Linked DNA regions of Caenorhabditis elegans. The protein of the gene in region 3 interacts with the protein of the main gene of each other region in a pairwise test. Each region holds a gene or a part of one and is shown on either strand. Other genes may lie near its edges.

Evidence for each region.
Region 1: the proteins of ZC239.15 (region 3) and ech-8 interact in a two-hybrid assay, tested with the Caenorhabditis elegans proteins (one large-scale study listed by BioGRID).
Region 2: the proteins of ZC239.15 (region 3) and gst-15 interact in a two-hybrid assay, tested with the Caenorhabditis elegans proteins (one large-scale study listed by BioGRID).

The regions. Positions count from the first base shown.
Region 1 is NC_003282.8:10,235,722-10,241,511, reverse strand, and holds ech-8 (Enoyl-CoA Hydratase), read left to right. Parts: upstream 1-2,335; 5' UTR 2,336-2,397; coding exon 2,398-2,460; intron 2,461-2,991; coding exon 2,992-3,147; intron 3,148-3,197; coding exon 3,198-3,341; intron 3,342-3,389; coding exon 3,390-3,509; intron 3,510-3,554; coding exon 3,555-3,981; intron 3,982-4,308; coding exon 4,309-4,430; intron 4,431-4,476; coding exon 4,477-4,574; intron 4,575-4,629; coding exon 4,630-4,813; 3' UTR 4,814-4,886; downstream 4,887-5,790. Other genes in the region: lipl-7 (Lipase), read left to right, coding at 231-598, 966-1,447, 1,496-1,607, 2,111-2,188.
Region 2 is NC_003280.10:13,610,866-13,615,533, reverse strand, and holds gst-15 (glutathione transferase), read left to right. Parts: upstream 1-2,337; 5' UTR 2,338-2,390; coding exon 2,391-2,535; intron 2,536-3,206; coding exon 3,207-3,703; 3' UTR 3,704-3,764; downstream 3,765-4,668. Other genes in the region: gst-14 (glutathione transferase), read left to right, coding at 190-683; gst-24 (glutathione transferase), read left to right, coding at 4,240-4,378, 4,564-4,668.
Region 3 is NC_003280.10:3,222,161-3,226,694, forward strand, and holds ZC239.15 (BTB domain-containing protein), read right to left. Parts: upstream 2,572-4,534; 5' UTR 2,484-2,571; coding exon 2,373-2,483; intron 2,328-2,372; coding exon 2,058-2,327; intron 1,745-2,057; coding exon 1,633-1,744; intron 1,591-1,632; coding exon 1,385-1,590; 3' UTR 1,173-1,384; downstream 1-1,172. Other genes in the region: ZC239.13 (BTB domain-containing protein), read right to left, coding at 350-493, 544-654; ZC239.16 (BTB domain-containing protein), read right to left, coding at 2,610-2,966, 3,015-3,125; ZC239.17 (Potassium channel tetramerization-type BTB domain-containing protein), read right to left, coding at 3,322-3,720.

The sequences.
Region 1 (5,790 bases), on a different chromosome or scaffold from region 3:
TTCGTAAACGGAAACTTCAAAATGAAGTATCGGCAGTAGAGATTTTGTACAAGTTTTCTCATTGATTTTTAACATGGCCGATTAAACAAAATGAATAATTTCAGATTTCTCTTTGTTCCAGTATTGGTAAATTTCCAAACTGTCAACAAAAAAAAGAAGTTTTTGAATAATTTAATATACATTGAATTTTGCTGTGAATTACCTTTGATATCATCTCTAATATTTTTCAGAAAAATGTGACAGAAGCTCAAAACGTCCAATAGTATTCATGCAACACGGCCTCCTTGCGGACGGATTCTCTTGGATTCCGAATCTAGCAAATCAATCGGCTGGTTTTGTTTTCGCCGATGCAGGTTTTGATATTTGGATTGCAAATAGCCGTGGAACTCCTGCATCACAAAAACATATTGGCTATGGACCGGAAAATCAGAAATTTTGGAATTTCACGTGGCAACAAATGTCGGAATTTGATTTGACAGCGAGTGTGGATTTGGTATTGAAGGAGACAAAACAAGAGTTTTTATATTATTTGGGACACTCACAAGGAACTATGATTATGTTCTCAAGACTTGCAGAAAATCCAGAATTTGCAAAGAAGGTATTTCAATTTATTGCTAGACACAGAGAATTTTAAAACAAATCTAATTCGTTTCTAATTATAATTAGTCAGACAGTTTTTCGGCACCCGTGCGATGAAGGATGTATTTGACATGTTTTTGTATGACTACTCGTATTATGGGGTATTGTAGTTACAAACAGTACATTTTGTTGTGACTACTTATGTAGTTGCCGTAATCCAACATTTGTTTCTCAAGCTCATGCTTTGCACAAAATTGAAAATCACGATCAGTATATATTTATAGTTTCTGTATGCTAACAAACATTTTCTTTGTAGAAAGTTACATACGATCAGTTAATATGCTTTTAGTCTTTCTTTACCTCCTCAAAAGCAACAATAATTTAAGATTCGTCATTTCCATGCATTGGCTCCAGTTGCAACAGTATCCCATATCGGTGGTCTATTTGGATTGTTTGGGACAAAGTTTCTAACTTATGCAGAAATCTTGCTCGGTCGACTTCCATACTCTCCACTGTCAATTCCGCGAACTGTTCAAAAAATGATAAGTTACATGTGCAGCAGATTCTTTATGCAAAATATTTGTACATTGGACATCGGTTTCATTGATGGAAATGAGAAAATGTTCAATCAATCAAGAGTTGGTGTATATCTTTGTCATACACCTGCAGCCACTTCTGTAAAAGATTTGCAACACTGGATTCAACTTGTCAAATCACAGACTGTTTCTAAGTTTGATTATGGAACTGATGGAAATATCATTGAATACGGGCAACCTACTCCTCCGGAATATGATTTGACACAGATCAACACACCAACTTATCTCTATTGGAGTCGTGACGACATTTTGGCTGATACTCAAGATATTCGGTTAATCAATTATATTAGTTTTGATGTAACTAAATGAATGATTTGTAGAGACTCGATTCTGTCAAAAATGAATAAAACAATCGCTGGATCACTGGAACTTCCACACTACAGTCATATGGATTTTGTATTCGGTACGCATGCTGCATTTGATTTATATCCGGTAAGTCTGAAATCAAATTTCCTACTGAATAATATCTTTTCATTAACGTTAGACCGCGCATCTGTAATATTTACACTTTGTCAAATTTTGGTAAAACCTTTTGATTTGGTTTTGATCAGGCCTTGGTAAAGACTTCATGTGTGCGTTCTGGAAGGTTAAAAAAAATGAAAGTTGGTGGGTCAGACTTAGGTCACCTCATATTTGAAATCTGTAACACGTTCCGAGCAAAGTTTGACCAATTTCTGGCCAAGGTGTATTCAAAATGTGGTCACTCTTTCTAGACATTGAACAGAAAACATTTGAAAAGGAACGGCTTCTGCAGAAATTCTCTCTAACATAAATTAATAGAGTTCCAAAATATTTCAATTCCTTATTTTCCCACTTTTTCGTTTTTGAGCAATGGTCCAAATTTTCCAAAATGCCGGGTTTGGTTGTTCTTAATGTTATATTCTTATTTTTGAAATTACATAATAAGGAGTTATTTAAAAACAAATTTATTCCAGAAAATCATCGAAACTATCCAAGATGACTACAACAAATATCGAATCACTCGGATGCACAAATTGAAGAAACATTTATGATTTTTCATCGATTTTTTTTCAAAAATAAATAAAACCGTGTTTTATTGTTGTTTTAATGGCCAAAATGTACCTATAGGCTACAATGTTCTTCTTATCAATTGATCGCTAACGTGGGACACATCTGGCATATATCAATGCAATTTCTTTAGATCTTTTAATTCGTTACAATTGGTTTTATTTTGAAATTTAGATTTTTGAAATTCAGAAAAATGGATAAAGTGCCACAAGCAGTGAGGGACTATTTGATGGAGGCTCATCAATTGGCGGCTCAGGTAACTTTGAAAACTAAAATAATAAAGTTTTTTGAATGAGAAATTAGTTATTTTCCGCTTTTCCGTATCCGTGGGCACTCTGTAGATTTGTGAATTGTTTGTTTTTGGTATTTTTCAGTGAGGGAAGACCACTTTTCGGCAGAATTTTGAATTGAGCAATGGTAGAAATCACTAAAACGATATCGTTTATAGTATATAGAGAACAGAAAATAGCTGAAGTTACAGATTTCGATTTCATTGATAATATAAAATATTAGTTCATCCGGCAAACATCGGAATAATATTTTTTTAAAGTATTTTTCAAATATCGAAGAGCACGACTATATGATTCAATGGCAAAATTCTAAGTTGTGGTGAAAAATAATAATAAACAAGAAAATCCCTTGATTAGTCAGTTGCCAAAATTTTTGAAGAACTTGCTCGAGAAAAACGCGCATTTTTACACTTTGCAAAGTTTTTCAGCATTCAGCTTTAACAATATCTGAAAATCACAATTTTTTTACATCAGAATATGAAAATTGATCATTTCAGTGGTCTCTTCCAAATGATCGCGGTGACTACATAAATTCGAAATCAATTCCAATCAAATCAGTGGCTGTAATTGGAGGTGGAACCATGGGAAGAGGAATTGCAATCGCATTTTGTTTATCAGGATTTGAGACGTATCTTGTCGAAGTTAACAATAAGGTAGCCATAAAGTTTAAAAATAATATCAATTCAGTTAAACTTGTTTGCAGGCTGCCGAATTCTGTAAAAATGAATTGGAAATCACTTACAAAAGGGAAAAAGCATTTCGAAGACTGAACGATTCAAAAGTTGAAAAATTGAGAAAAAATCTACAGATAACTACAGATTTTCAAAAGCTAAATAATTGTGATTTGGTGAGTTTTTGTTTTTATTTTCAAAAGAAAAAAAAAGAAAAATTTCAGATTGTAGAAGCCGTTTTTGAAGATATGAAACTGAAAAAGGAACTTTTCACTAAACTTGATAAAATTTGCAAACCATCATGTATTTTTGGAACCAACACATCAAGTTTAGATTTGAATGAGGTACGCTTTAAGTTAACTATTCCAAAAGAACATGTTCACTTTCAGATGTCATCAGTACTTAGAGATCCAACAAAAGTAGTTGGAATTCATTTTTTCAATCCGGCAAATTTGATTCGAATGGTTGAAGTGATCTACGGATCGAAAACTTCCTCCAAAGCAGTTGCTACAGCTTTTGAAGCATGTAGATCTATCAAAAAGCTACCAGTTCTTGTGGGAAACTGTCCAGCATTTGTATTTAACCGGCTACTTGGAGTTTATCTGAATCAGAGTCAAAAGTTGATGTATGAATACGGATATCTTCCTCATCAAATTGATAAAATCATTACAAACTTTGGATTCCTAATGGGTCCTTTAACAGTAGCTGATATGAATGGATTAGATGTAATGGAAAAGTTGAAAAAGGAGAATGGATGGCCAGCAAGTGATTTTGAAAAGGAAGTTTGGAGACAAAAGAGATACGGTAGAAAAACAAGTACGTCTTTAAATAAATTGTGAAATGAACTGAGAAACGGATAATTTCAATTTCTTTGGAGTATCACCAGCGGCAAATAGTTATACATAGGTTAAAAAACAAATACCTTCGCTCCGGCTATAAGAAAAGTTTGAAATATTTGACAAGCTGAAGTCTGAAATTTTTAAAATATTTTTTCAGTGGTAATGATAAGTGCCAATCAAAATTTTGAACGTTCCAGAAGGAAAACCGGAAATTATTGTTTTCAATTTATTTTTTCAAAATGAAGATTTTCAAAACTGTCACGAAAAGCCCAATATTTTTTACCAATTTAGGTGTAATTTTCAGATAAGGGATACTACAAATATGATCCAAATACTCACAAAAAGGAGAATGATATAGAAATGGAGCAGCTCATTCGAAAATTTTCTTCAGCTGCAAGTCCAAATATACAAATTTTGAACGATCAGGTACTCACTTTCTAATTTCATTCAAATTCAACCGAAAACTTACCAGGATGCCGTCAATTTCCTCTTGTATCCCATGGTCAACGAAGGTCTTTTGTGCATTGAGGAAGGAATCATCCATCATGAAAGTTTGATCGATATCATGTTGTAAGTAAAACTTAATTTCAAAAAAAAATTAAAATTATGAGCACAATTGTTTCAGCATTCTCGGGTTTGGATGGCCTGTTGCTACTGGTGGTCCGATGAGATTTGGATGGCTTCAAGGAATTGAAAAAGTTGCGAGCACAATTATTCTCTGGAATTCTTTAGAACCAAATGATAGAACATACAAAGTTGCGGCCACGTTGCAAAATGTGGACAGGAAGAATTTTGCAGCGAAATTATAAATTTTGTAGTTCGTTACCATGTTCAAAGAGATGATTATTGTAAAAACATAAATAAATACCCTGTATACAATTGATCTACTATGTACAAGAAATGACATGCTGGGGATTATAAATTTTGTCGAAAGTTTGATGCAAATCAATCTGCAAGACCAATTGCCCATCTCTAATTCTGAAAATTAAAATGTCTTCTGTATTTTTTTGGATAAACCCCGTGAGGTGCACAAATAATAATTATAAAAATAAAAGTACGGTACATTTAGCGAAAAACGGATCTTGAGACATTCAATTGTACACTTATCATTATTATCAGTAACATGGATTTTGTGGGCGTTTTTCGTATTTCAACCGGACAAGCACTGTCATATGAAATCAACCCTTACTCTTAGACATTTGAGCTTGAAAATTGATAAGAAAGTGGAAGTAAATGTTGCCTTACAGAATCACAAAAATCAACATAAAGACTGCCTTGCTGAAATGACGTTTTGTATTAAAAAATATTACTGATTGTGTTGGGATTAAAAATTTGATATCAAAACGAAAAATACTTGGTAAATAGGTAGAACACACATTTTTTCAAGAAAAAAGTGTTTCCTCTGGTGCTCGATATGACCGACAATAAACTTCAAATTTTTAGCTGTACTCTGTAGGGCACAATAATTATATTTAAAAATTTCAGTTCAAGCCAACTTCTGTACAAAATCCACCTTTAAAAAATTTCAGACAACACTTTGTTGAGCCCTACCAGAGATACGCGTCCATCTGCATTATTTTTCAAAAAAGTTGGCGATAGTTTTTTGTTCGGATATCGTAATAATCTCACGATATGCTGCGCTATGAAAATTGGATGTTTTTCAAAGTATCAAAACAAGTTATAGCCTAACATCTTAATTTAGTAAACAACTCCAAATAAATCACATATGTATGTACATATACAGATAAGAAACAATAAACTATACACAGAAATATTCACAAGGCAC
Region 2 (4,668 bases), about 10 Mb from region 3:
CCGGTTTGCCGATTTGCCCGAAATTTTCAAATTCGCCGGAAATTTTCGATTCCGAAAATTTGCCGATTTGTCGGAAATTTGAAATTCCGGCATTTTGTCTATTTGCCGGAAATTTTAAATTCCGACAATTTGCCGGTTTGCCGACTTGCCGGAATATGTCGCCCACCCCTGCTATATATCGAATTCCAGAAACCCCAATGGGACAATTGCCTGTCCTCACCGTCGATGACTTCGAAATCCCACAATCTGCTGCCATAAATCGCTACCTTGCTAGAAAATTCGGGTTCGCTGGAAAAACTCCAGAGGAAGAAGCTTGGGTAGACGCCGTCGTCGATCAATTCAAAGATTTCTTTGCGGAATTCAGAAAACTAGTCATTGCAAAACGAGTCGGAAAATCTGCTGAAGAACTGGAAAAGTTAACGGCTGAAGTTATAAAACCTGCTATGGATGTGTACTTCAAAGTTCTCAATGGCCTACTGGAAAAGAGCAAGTCAGGATATCTGATCGGAGATTCAATCACCTTCGCGGATCTTTATATCGCTGACAACATTCAAACACTGAAAAAATATGGGCTCCTAGAAGCTTCTGGAGAGCAACCAAAACTAGCAGCTCATCTCGAAAAAGTGTATTCCCACCCCAATCTGAAGAGCTATATCGCAAGTCGTCCAGTAACGGAGATCTAATTTTTAATCTTACTAACATGTTTTCCATATTCAAAAACAAAATAAAGAAGTTTCCTTTGACAACCAGAAACTTCATTAATGTTGACTGCCGCCGAAATGTCCTTGTCAATACTCTCTCACGTGGGGGGGGGGGGGGGGGGTAAACAAGAAAATGTGATGTTTGGTGAACAGAAAGGGTAGGGGAGAATAACAAAATAAAAACGAAGGAGGTTTTCTAAAGAATGATTGTTCTGGATTTTTTTTTGTTGGTTTTTTACAATTCATTTTTATTTTTATACTTATGCCAAGTTGAATTAAAGATGGAGCAGAGTTTCTGAAGTTTGCATATATTAATTACCTATTTTCAACAAATTTAGACGGCATTTTATTTTTGCCCAATTTTTTTCAGCCATCTAAGGACTGTCCTTTTTTTGGGCAAAAAAAATTTCTCTGAAACCGTTCGAAACTACTGGAAATTGAAAAAGGGCAATTTTTTAGTGTTTGCAGATCAATTTTGAGTCCTCTATCTATAAAATTGACCATTTTAGAGGAGTTTCAAAATTGTGATTTTTTGCCATAAATTGCCCATTTTTGCCACGTTATAGTTTTTGATGGGTTAAACATAGATTTTCTGAATTCAGCATACACGAATTACCCGTTTTCAACAAATTTAGCCAAAAATTTTTTTGCCCAATTTTTTTAAAGCCATCTAATGACTGTCCTTTTTTTTGGGCAAAAAAAAAGATTTTTCTTAAAACGTTTGGAACCACTGGAAATTGAAAAAGGGCAATTTTTTAGTGTTTGTAGATCAATTTTGAGTTCTCTAACTAAATTCAAAATGAACCATTTTAGAGGAGTTTTAAAATTTGTGATTTTTTACAATAAATTGCCCAAACAATATGTTTTTAAAAAAATTTTTAATGATTTTTTTTTTCAATTTTTCAAAAATCAAAGAAATGCCCAAATTATATTTGAATTCTCGCGCAAATGAGTGACGTCATTTTTGGCTAAATTTATGCGTTTTTTTTTAAAATTTTCTTCTATATTTGATTTAAAACACAAATTCGGCAATTGTTTTTCAAATTGAAAACTTTTTTCCGTAACATGGAAGAAATTGGTCTAAAAAACGGAAATTTAATATTTCTTTATATTTTTTTTGTTTTAGAAAATTGAATGTTTGAAAAATTGACAAACGGCGATTTAAATCAAATGTAGAAGACATATCAAGAAACCCCTCCAAAATTAGCCAGAAAAAGCGAAAATGCATAGAATGACGTCACTCATTCGCGCGGGAATTCAAATTTAATTCGGACGTTTTTTTTTTCAAATGGAAAAAAATTATTAAAAATTTAGAAAATTTTTAAAATTTTTTGACAGTTATATTTGGTTATTACGACCTATTTTCTGTGACTTAAACCCAAAAAAAATTTGAAAAAGCTCTTCTTCTCTTTTCAAAGTGGGGTTTTTTTCGAAACGTGTCCTGCAAAAAAATGTAAATTTCCAAAAAATCGTTTTTATTTCTCTTATTTTTCTTTTATTTTGAAATTTTAAATTTTGTGCTCTTTTTTATCACAATGCTCAAAGACCACCGATTTCCAATTCCCATATTATATTTTTGCTTAGAGACGTAAGCCTCAAATAAATAGACTTAGACTGTTAGAGACCTCGCTTTTTCCACTCAATTTTGTCGATTTTCGAATCCACCTTTTTCAATCTTCCAGAAATAAAATGCCACAATACAAGCTAACATATTTTGATCTACGTGGATGGGCTGAGCCGGCTCGACAGCTTTTCCATCTCTCGCATACTCCATACGATGATATTCGGATTCCAATGGCCGATACTGAAGGGAAATGGGAGAAAATGAGAGACAGTAAGTTCTTAAAGTGAAATGTGTTGCTTGTAGTTTGTAGTTTGTAGTTTGTAGTTACTGATGCCACACTTAATTTGAAAAAGTTTGAACTAAAAAACATTAAATTTCTTGGCTTTCGGGGAAAAATCTTTTTGTAGTTTGTAGTTTGTAGTTCGTAGTTTGTAGTCTGTAGTTTGTAGTTTTTAATTTGTAGTTTGTAGTTTGTAGGTGCTAGTTTGTAGTTTGTAAAAGGTTTTTTGGTACGAAAGTATTTTGAAAAATTAATTTTTGTCAAAAAAATAGTTTGTTACTTGTAGTCCGTAATTCGTATTATGTAGAATATAGGTTGTAGTTTGTAGTCTGCAGATTGTAGTTTGTAGTTTGTATATTGTAGTTTGTAGTTTGTAGCTTGTAGAAAGGATTAGATATTTCTGTTTTTTTTTCGTATAAATAGAAAGTCACTACATCCAGCTTTAGGGTTTCATAAGATCTTCAGGCGTACGCGCCTACTTTTTGCCTGCCTGCCTACGTGCTCTCCATTGTGACTTCTTGTTTAGCGCAGATTTCAAATATTTGTGTTAAGTATAAAATGTTCGATTACAAACTGAGAGTATGAACACACGATGGCAGACGTAGGCATGTAGGCAAGCGTGCCTACAAAGAAGACCTGCCATAATTAATTCAACTTCCAGAAACCCCATTTGGTCAGCTCCCAGTACTCAACGTTGATGGCTTCGACATCCCCCAATCTGCTGCAATTTGTCGATACCTTGCCAAGAAATTTGGTTATGCCGGAAAAACTCCAGAAGAAGAAGCGTGGGCGGACGCCGTTGTCGACCAATTCAAAGACTTCTCCGTTGCTTTTAAAACACTCCTTTTTGCCACAAGGGCCGGGAAACCAGAAGAAGAAATCCTCAAAATCCGCTACGAGATTTTCAATCCAGCTCGAGATGTCTACTTTATTCTTCTCAATCGAATTCTCAAAAAGAGCAAGTCAGGTTATTTAGTTGGTGATGGGCTCACATGGGCTGATCTAGTTATAGCTGATAATTTGCACAGTCTGGAGAAGCTTCGAGCCATCGATGATGATGATGAAGGACATCAGAATTTGAAAAAGTATAAGGAGAAAATCTATGGAACCCCAGATTTGGAGGATCATATTGCGACGAGAATGGATACAGAAGTCTAAATTTTGAATCGCGTTGAATTTTTAAAAACTGTGATAAAAGATAATAAACATATTGTAGTATTTTATGCGGATATTTTTTTACCGAAATACTTTTTTTTGAAATAATAGTGCGAGAAGTGCAACAGGGCTCCATATGATTTTTCAGTACTTTTGAATTTTTGAAAAAAACAGCTTTTGATGTATTTTCTGAACTTTTTAAAATAATCTTCCGTACAAGTTAGCAAATTTTATTTAATATTTTTTGGTATATTTTATCATGCTAAACAGTTTTATAAAAGAAAAATGAAGCACTTCATATGATTTTTCAGTACTTTTGAATTTTTGAAAAAAAAACAGCTTTTGATGCATTTTCTGAATTTTTCAAAAATTTTTCCAATTTTCTGACTTTTTGTTTTGTGACCAGTGTTTCTTCGCAAAAACACAAACCACTCTTCTATTTCTCTATTTCTCTCACTCTCCCTCCCCTCAATTTCGGAGATTTTCGAAACGACTTTGTGTATATAAAGTACTACTCAATCATCTCCCATCAACAAACAATGCCACAATACAAGCTCTACTATTTCAACCTTCGTGGATGGGCTGAGCCGGCTCGGCAGCTCTTCAAGCTGGCTCACGTCGAGTTTGAGGATGTTCGTATTGAGAATGGAACTCCAGAGTGGGGAGCGTTGAAGCCAAGTGAGTTTTTGAAACATTTTTAGTGGTATTTGTATAACTGTCACGGATTTTGAGAATTTTTTAAAAATCAGATACGGTGGTCCACTCTAAGCCTAAGCCTATGCCTCGGCCTATGACTATACCTAAGCCTAAGCGAAAGCCTAAACCTAAGCCTAAGTCTGAATCCCAACCCAGGAATCTTCCAGAAACCCCATTTGGTCAGCTCCCATTCCTCTCAGTCGATGGCTTCGAAATCCCCCAATCCGCTGCAATTCTCCGCTACCTTGCCAAAAAATTCGGCTACGCTGGAA
Region 3 (4,534 bases):
AATTAAAGAAACAAACAAACACTTAAAAAGAAAACAGAGTGAAATTCTGCTATCAGTGAGTCGATTTAATTGTTCAGCCTTACCAAATTGTTGTTTTTTTCCTCAGAATTGCAAAATTGGAAGTTTAAGTTTGTTTGTACTGTATTATTTTTAAAACTCTCTATAAACTCACTTCCAGTTACAATACTCCCAATAAAATGAAAACTCAATTTATTTCAGTTAAACAATCACTTCCGTGAAATCCAAGAAGGTTTGGATATCCATGGAGGTGGGGGAGAAGATACAGAACAAGTTCGTGCGCTTTCAATAATTGGTAGCTTTTTAATATTACCCAATTCAATGAGTCCATTCAGCAAATAATATTGAGCCTCTGCCAGCAATTCTTCCAATTTTCGGGAAGTGACAGGTCACCATCTCTCATGAAATTTAAAATCCTGTTAAAATGTTTCGGGGAGCGATCGATAAAAATGCATCCGGATTCGTCAAGTTCCAGCTGAAAATTTTCAAGTTTTCAAATCAGGTAAGAAATCAATATCATGAAACCCCTGTTCCAGATTCCAGCATAGTTTTAAAAATGCTATCGAGTTTCATTAATGTATCTTTTGAAGTTTTGAAAATAGTTCCGCCAACGTCTAGTTTAACAGTTTCACTCATTTTTGAAAAGTTTTTGAGAGGAAAAAGAGAGAAAAACGGAGTGAAATTGTGTTATCAGTGAGCCGATCGATTTTGAATTATCAGTGTTGCGAAATTTTGTTTTTTTTTTTACAAAAAAATCAAAAATGTTAAGAAATAAAAAAAAACTTCTGAATTGAAAATATTGTCAAAAAATCCACAAAATGAGTTAATTATCTCTTTCTCTGCTTCTCCAAATACAAATATTGACCAAACTCCCCAATCATTTTTTCTAATTTTTCCAAAAAAGTTGCATCCCGAATTATCCGTCCGCCTCGATTAATTCGAAGATTGTGCGGAAATTGACTATAATATCCATTCTCGGTAGATTTCCACTTTATCCTAGCTTTCCATTTTCGAGAAGGTTCGTCTTCACTCAATCGCTCTTAATCGATTACGGTAATCAGACCCTTTCACATTCAAACATAGTTTTGAATAATCCATCACATTTTATTAATGTCGGTCTTGAAGTTTTAAAAATAGTTCCGCCGATGTCTAGTTTAACAACCTTGTTCATATTTTAAAATAGTTACGGTTTGAGGCACAGATGCAACCAAACTCAAAAAATAAAAATAAGAATGTTTGTTATCAATCAGACTTTGAACTTATCCATGTGTTTTGTGTTTAAAGATAAAAAAACAAGCTTACTAAATTATAATTTTTTAAGCTTCTAAATTAGAAATATTGTCGAAAAATCCATAAAATAAGTTAATTATCTATTCCTCTGCTTCTTCAAATACTCATCAAACTCCCCGATCATTTTTTCCAATCGTTCCAAAAATGTTGCATCCCGTATTATCCGTCCACCTCGATTAATTCGAAGATTGTGTGGAAATTGACTGTAATATCCATTCTCAGTAGGTTTCCATTTTATCCTTGCTTTCCATTTGCGAGAAGGTTCGTCTTCACTCAATCGCTCTGAATTGACTATTTTATGAGGATAATGTACAAAAAACTTACGAAAATAAATATCGAACTGATGTGAATACTTTTCCATGAACTCGTAAAGATTAAAGTTATAGGGAATCGACATATCATTCCCAACCATGCAAAATTCAATTATGAGCATTGGCTGTAAAAATTATATGTAGAGCTGAAATTTTTTGAAGAAACTGGTTAATTATTTTATGATTGACAAACGCCATACAGTGTGGCCTTACTATTAGGACTACAGCTTGCACTGGCCTATAGTTTAAGCCACGTCCTAGCCAGGGACTGTGGCCGATAATACAGTCATGGATTGCTCCACTCTCCAATACAGACTGGGTGAACCTAGGGGATGAGTCTAAACTTGAAACCGCAACCTCTAGCTTTCTAGCAGCTACCACTACCGACTGAGATATTCCTATGAATTTGAAAAACTACATTATTTTATCGAAACTCACCTTCTGTTGAACAGCAAGAATTTGAAGAAATTGTTCATCGCTTTCAATAAATCGAAGTTTTATCTTTGGAGCTTCAACAAGCTCAATCTTTGAATTGCACAACTCAATGAGTCCGTCGAGCAAATAGAATTGAGCTTCTACTAGCAGCTCCTTCAGTTTCAATTCACAATTGGGTAGAACCACGTCGCCGTCTCGCATAAAGTTCAGTATCAAGTCGAAATTTTTCGGAGACCGATCAATAAAAATACTCCCAGATTCGTCAATTTTTAGCTGAAAATTTGAAAATTTATCGGGAAATTTTTGGAAAAATCGGACCCCAATGTCACTCTCCAACATAGTTTTGAAAAATCCATTGAACTTTGTTAATGTAGATCTTGAAGTTTTGAATATAGTTCCACCAACGTCCAATTTCACAGTTTCACTCATTTTCGAAGAGTTTTCTAGGGGAGAAAAAGAGAAAGATGGAGTAAAATTTTGTTATCAGTTATAAGATTATCGATCAGTACATATTTCAAAATGATTTTTTTTAACAAAAATTAAAATTTCCAACAACTAAAAAAGATAACATTTATTTCTTTTTTCAACAATAAAATAGCCTTTTAGTGCAGGCATGTAATACACAAACACTAAAACCAAAAAAATTATTGAAAAAACAAAAAACCATGATAAATCATATTTTTTAGTGTTTGCTCTTTGATCAATTTGGACCTTTTTTGTAGAATTAAGTTTATCACAGCACATTAAGACTAGACCATCCAACCAGTAGAATTGAGCTTCTGCCATCAATTCTCTCAGCTCTCTTTCATCTTCTGGCAGTGGCAGATCACCATCTCTCATTAAATTCAGAATCAATTCAAAGTGTTTCGGGGACCGATCTATGAAAATGCATCCGGTTTTTTCAATTTTCGGCTGGAAATTTTCACGTTTTTTTTTGGAAAAAAACAACGATTTTCATACCCCAGTTTTGCATTCCAACATAGTTTTGAAAAAGCTATGGAACTTTGTTAATGTATCTTTTGAAGTTTTGAATATAGTTCCGCCAACGTCTAGTTTAATAATTTCACTCATTTTTGGAGAGTTTTTGAAAAAAATTGTAGAGGAGAAAAAGAGGAAAGTGAAATGAAGGTTTGTTATCAGTGAGTCGATCGATTTGAAGTTATCAGTGTTTTCAATTGATTTTTTTCCATACTATAATAGGTTTACGTTCGGGTCTGTTCACATTTCTATGATAGCATAATACAATGAAAATTGCGTTTAATAGCCACTAAAATAGGTAGCATTTACTAGATTTTTCAACAATAAAATAGCTTTTTAGTGCAGGGATGTAATACACAAATACCAAAAAAATTAATGAAAAAACAAAAAAACGAGTATAACTATTATTTTTAGTTATTGGTTTTTGATTTTGAATCATTCGGAAGTTTATTATAGTGCTAAGTTTCACACCGCACTTATTGTACAGTCCAAACATCTGATAGTAATTTGCTTCCGCACACAACTCTCTCAATTCCTTCTCAGTTTCGGGCAACCACAGATTCCCATCTCTCATTAAGTTCAGAATTAACTCGAAGTGTTTCGGGGAACGATCAATAAAAATGCATCCGGATTTTTCGAGTTTCGGCTGAAAATGTTCAGGTTTTTGGAGAAATATAGTCAGCAACATTATACCGCAATATCACTTTCAAACATAGTTTTAAAAAAGCTATCGAGTTTCGTTAATGTATCTTTTGAAGTTTTGAATATAGTTCCACCAACGTCTAGTTTAATAATTTCGCACATTTTTTGGAGAGTTTTTAAAAAAATTGTGGGGAAGAGAAATGAAGAAAGTGAGATGAAGTTTTGTTATCAGTAAGTCTATCGATTTGCAATTAACAGCCATTTTTATATTTTTAACAAATTTTAGGAAATAGTGGCGGTGGAGTTTTTTTCAAGACATGTATAGAAAACTTTCCGATTTCCGCTTTTGCAAATTGTGCAAAATTTCTGAAGGAATTTTTATAAGAAAAAACGGATGACACATATTTTTGACATTTTTTCTCGTTTTCAGCAAGAATTCTAATATATTTTTTCTCATTTTTCATGTAAGATACGTGTAATTTTGCAGTTACAACTGAAATTTCAAAATTTCCAATAAAAAATGCAATACCTCAGTCGAAATTTTTCGGCAATTGAAGTTTTTGGCAGCTTCACAAAAAATTGAAAAATTTCCCATATTTTTTGAAACCAGCAGTTTCCGAAGATTCCAATTGCCAAAAATTTTCAAAACACTACAGTTTAAAATTGGGGTTATAACTTCATTTTTTTTTGTTTTTATAATCATACAGTGTGGGAAAGTTCTATAGGACCCCCCCTAATTTGAAGGTTTGAGGAACTTCCGAAAATTTTTTCGAAAAACTGCTAATGCCGTTCGTTTTTAAATTGAAAAAAACCTATATAAATTTTTTTCCAGAAGTTTATCTCAAAAACTGAGGTCGCGC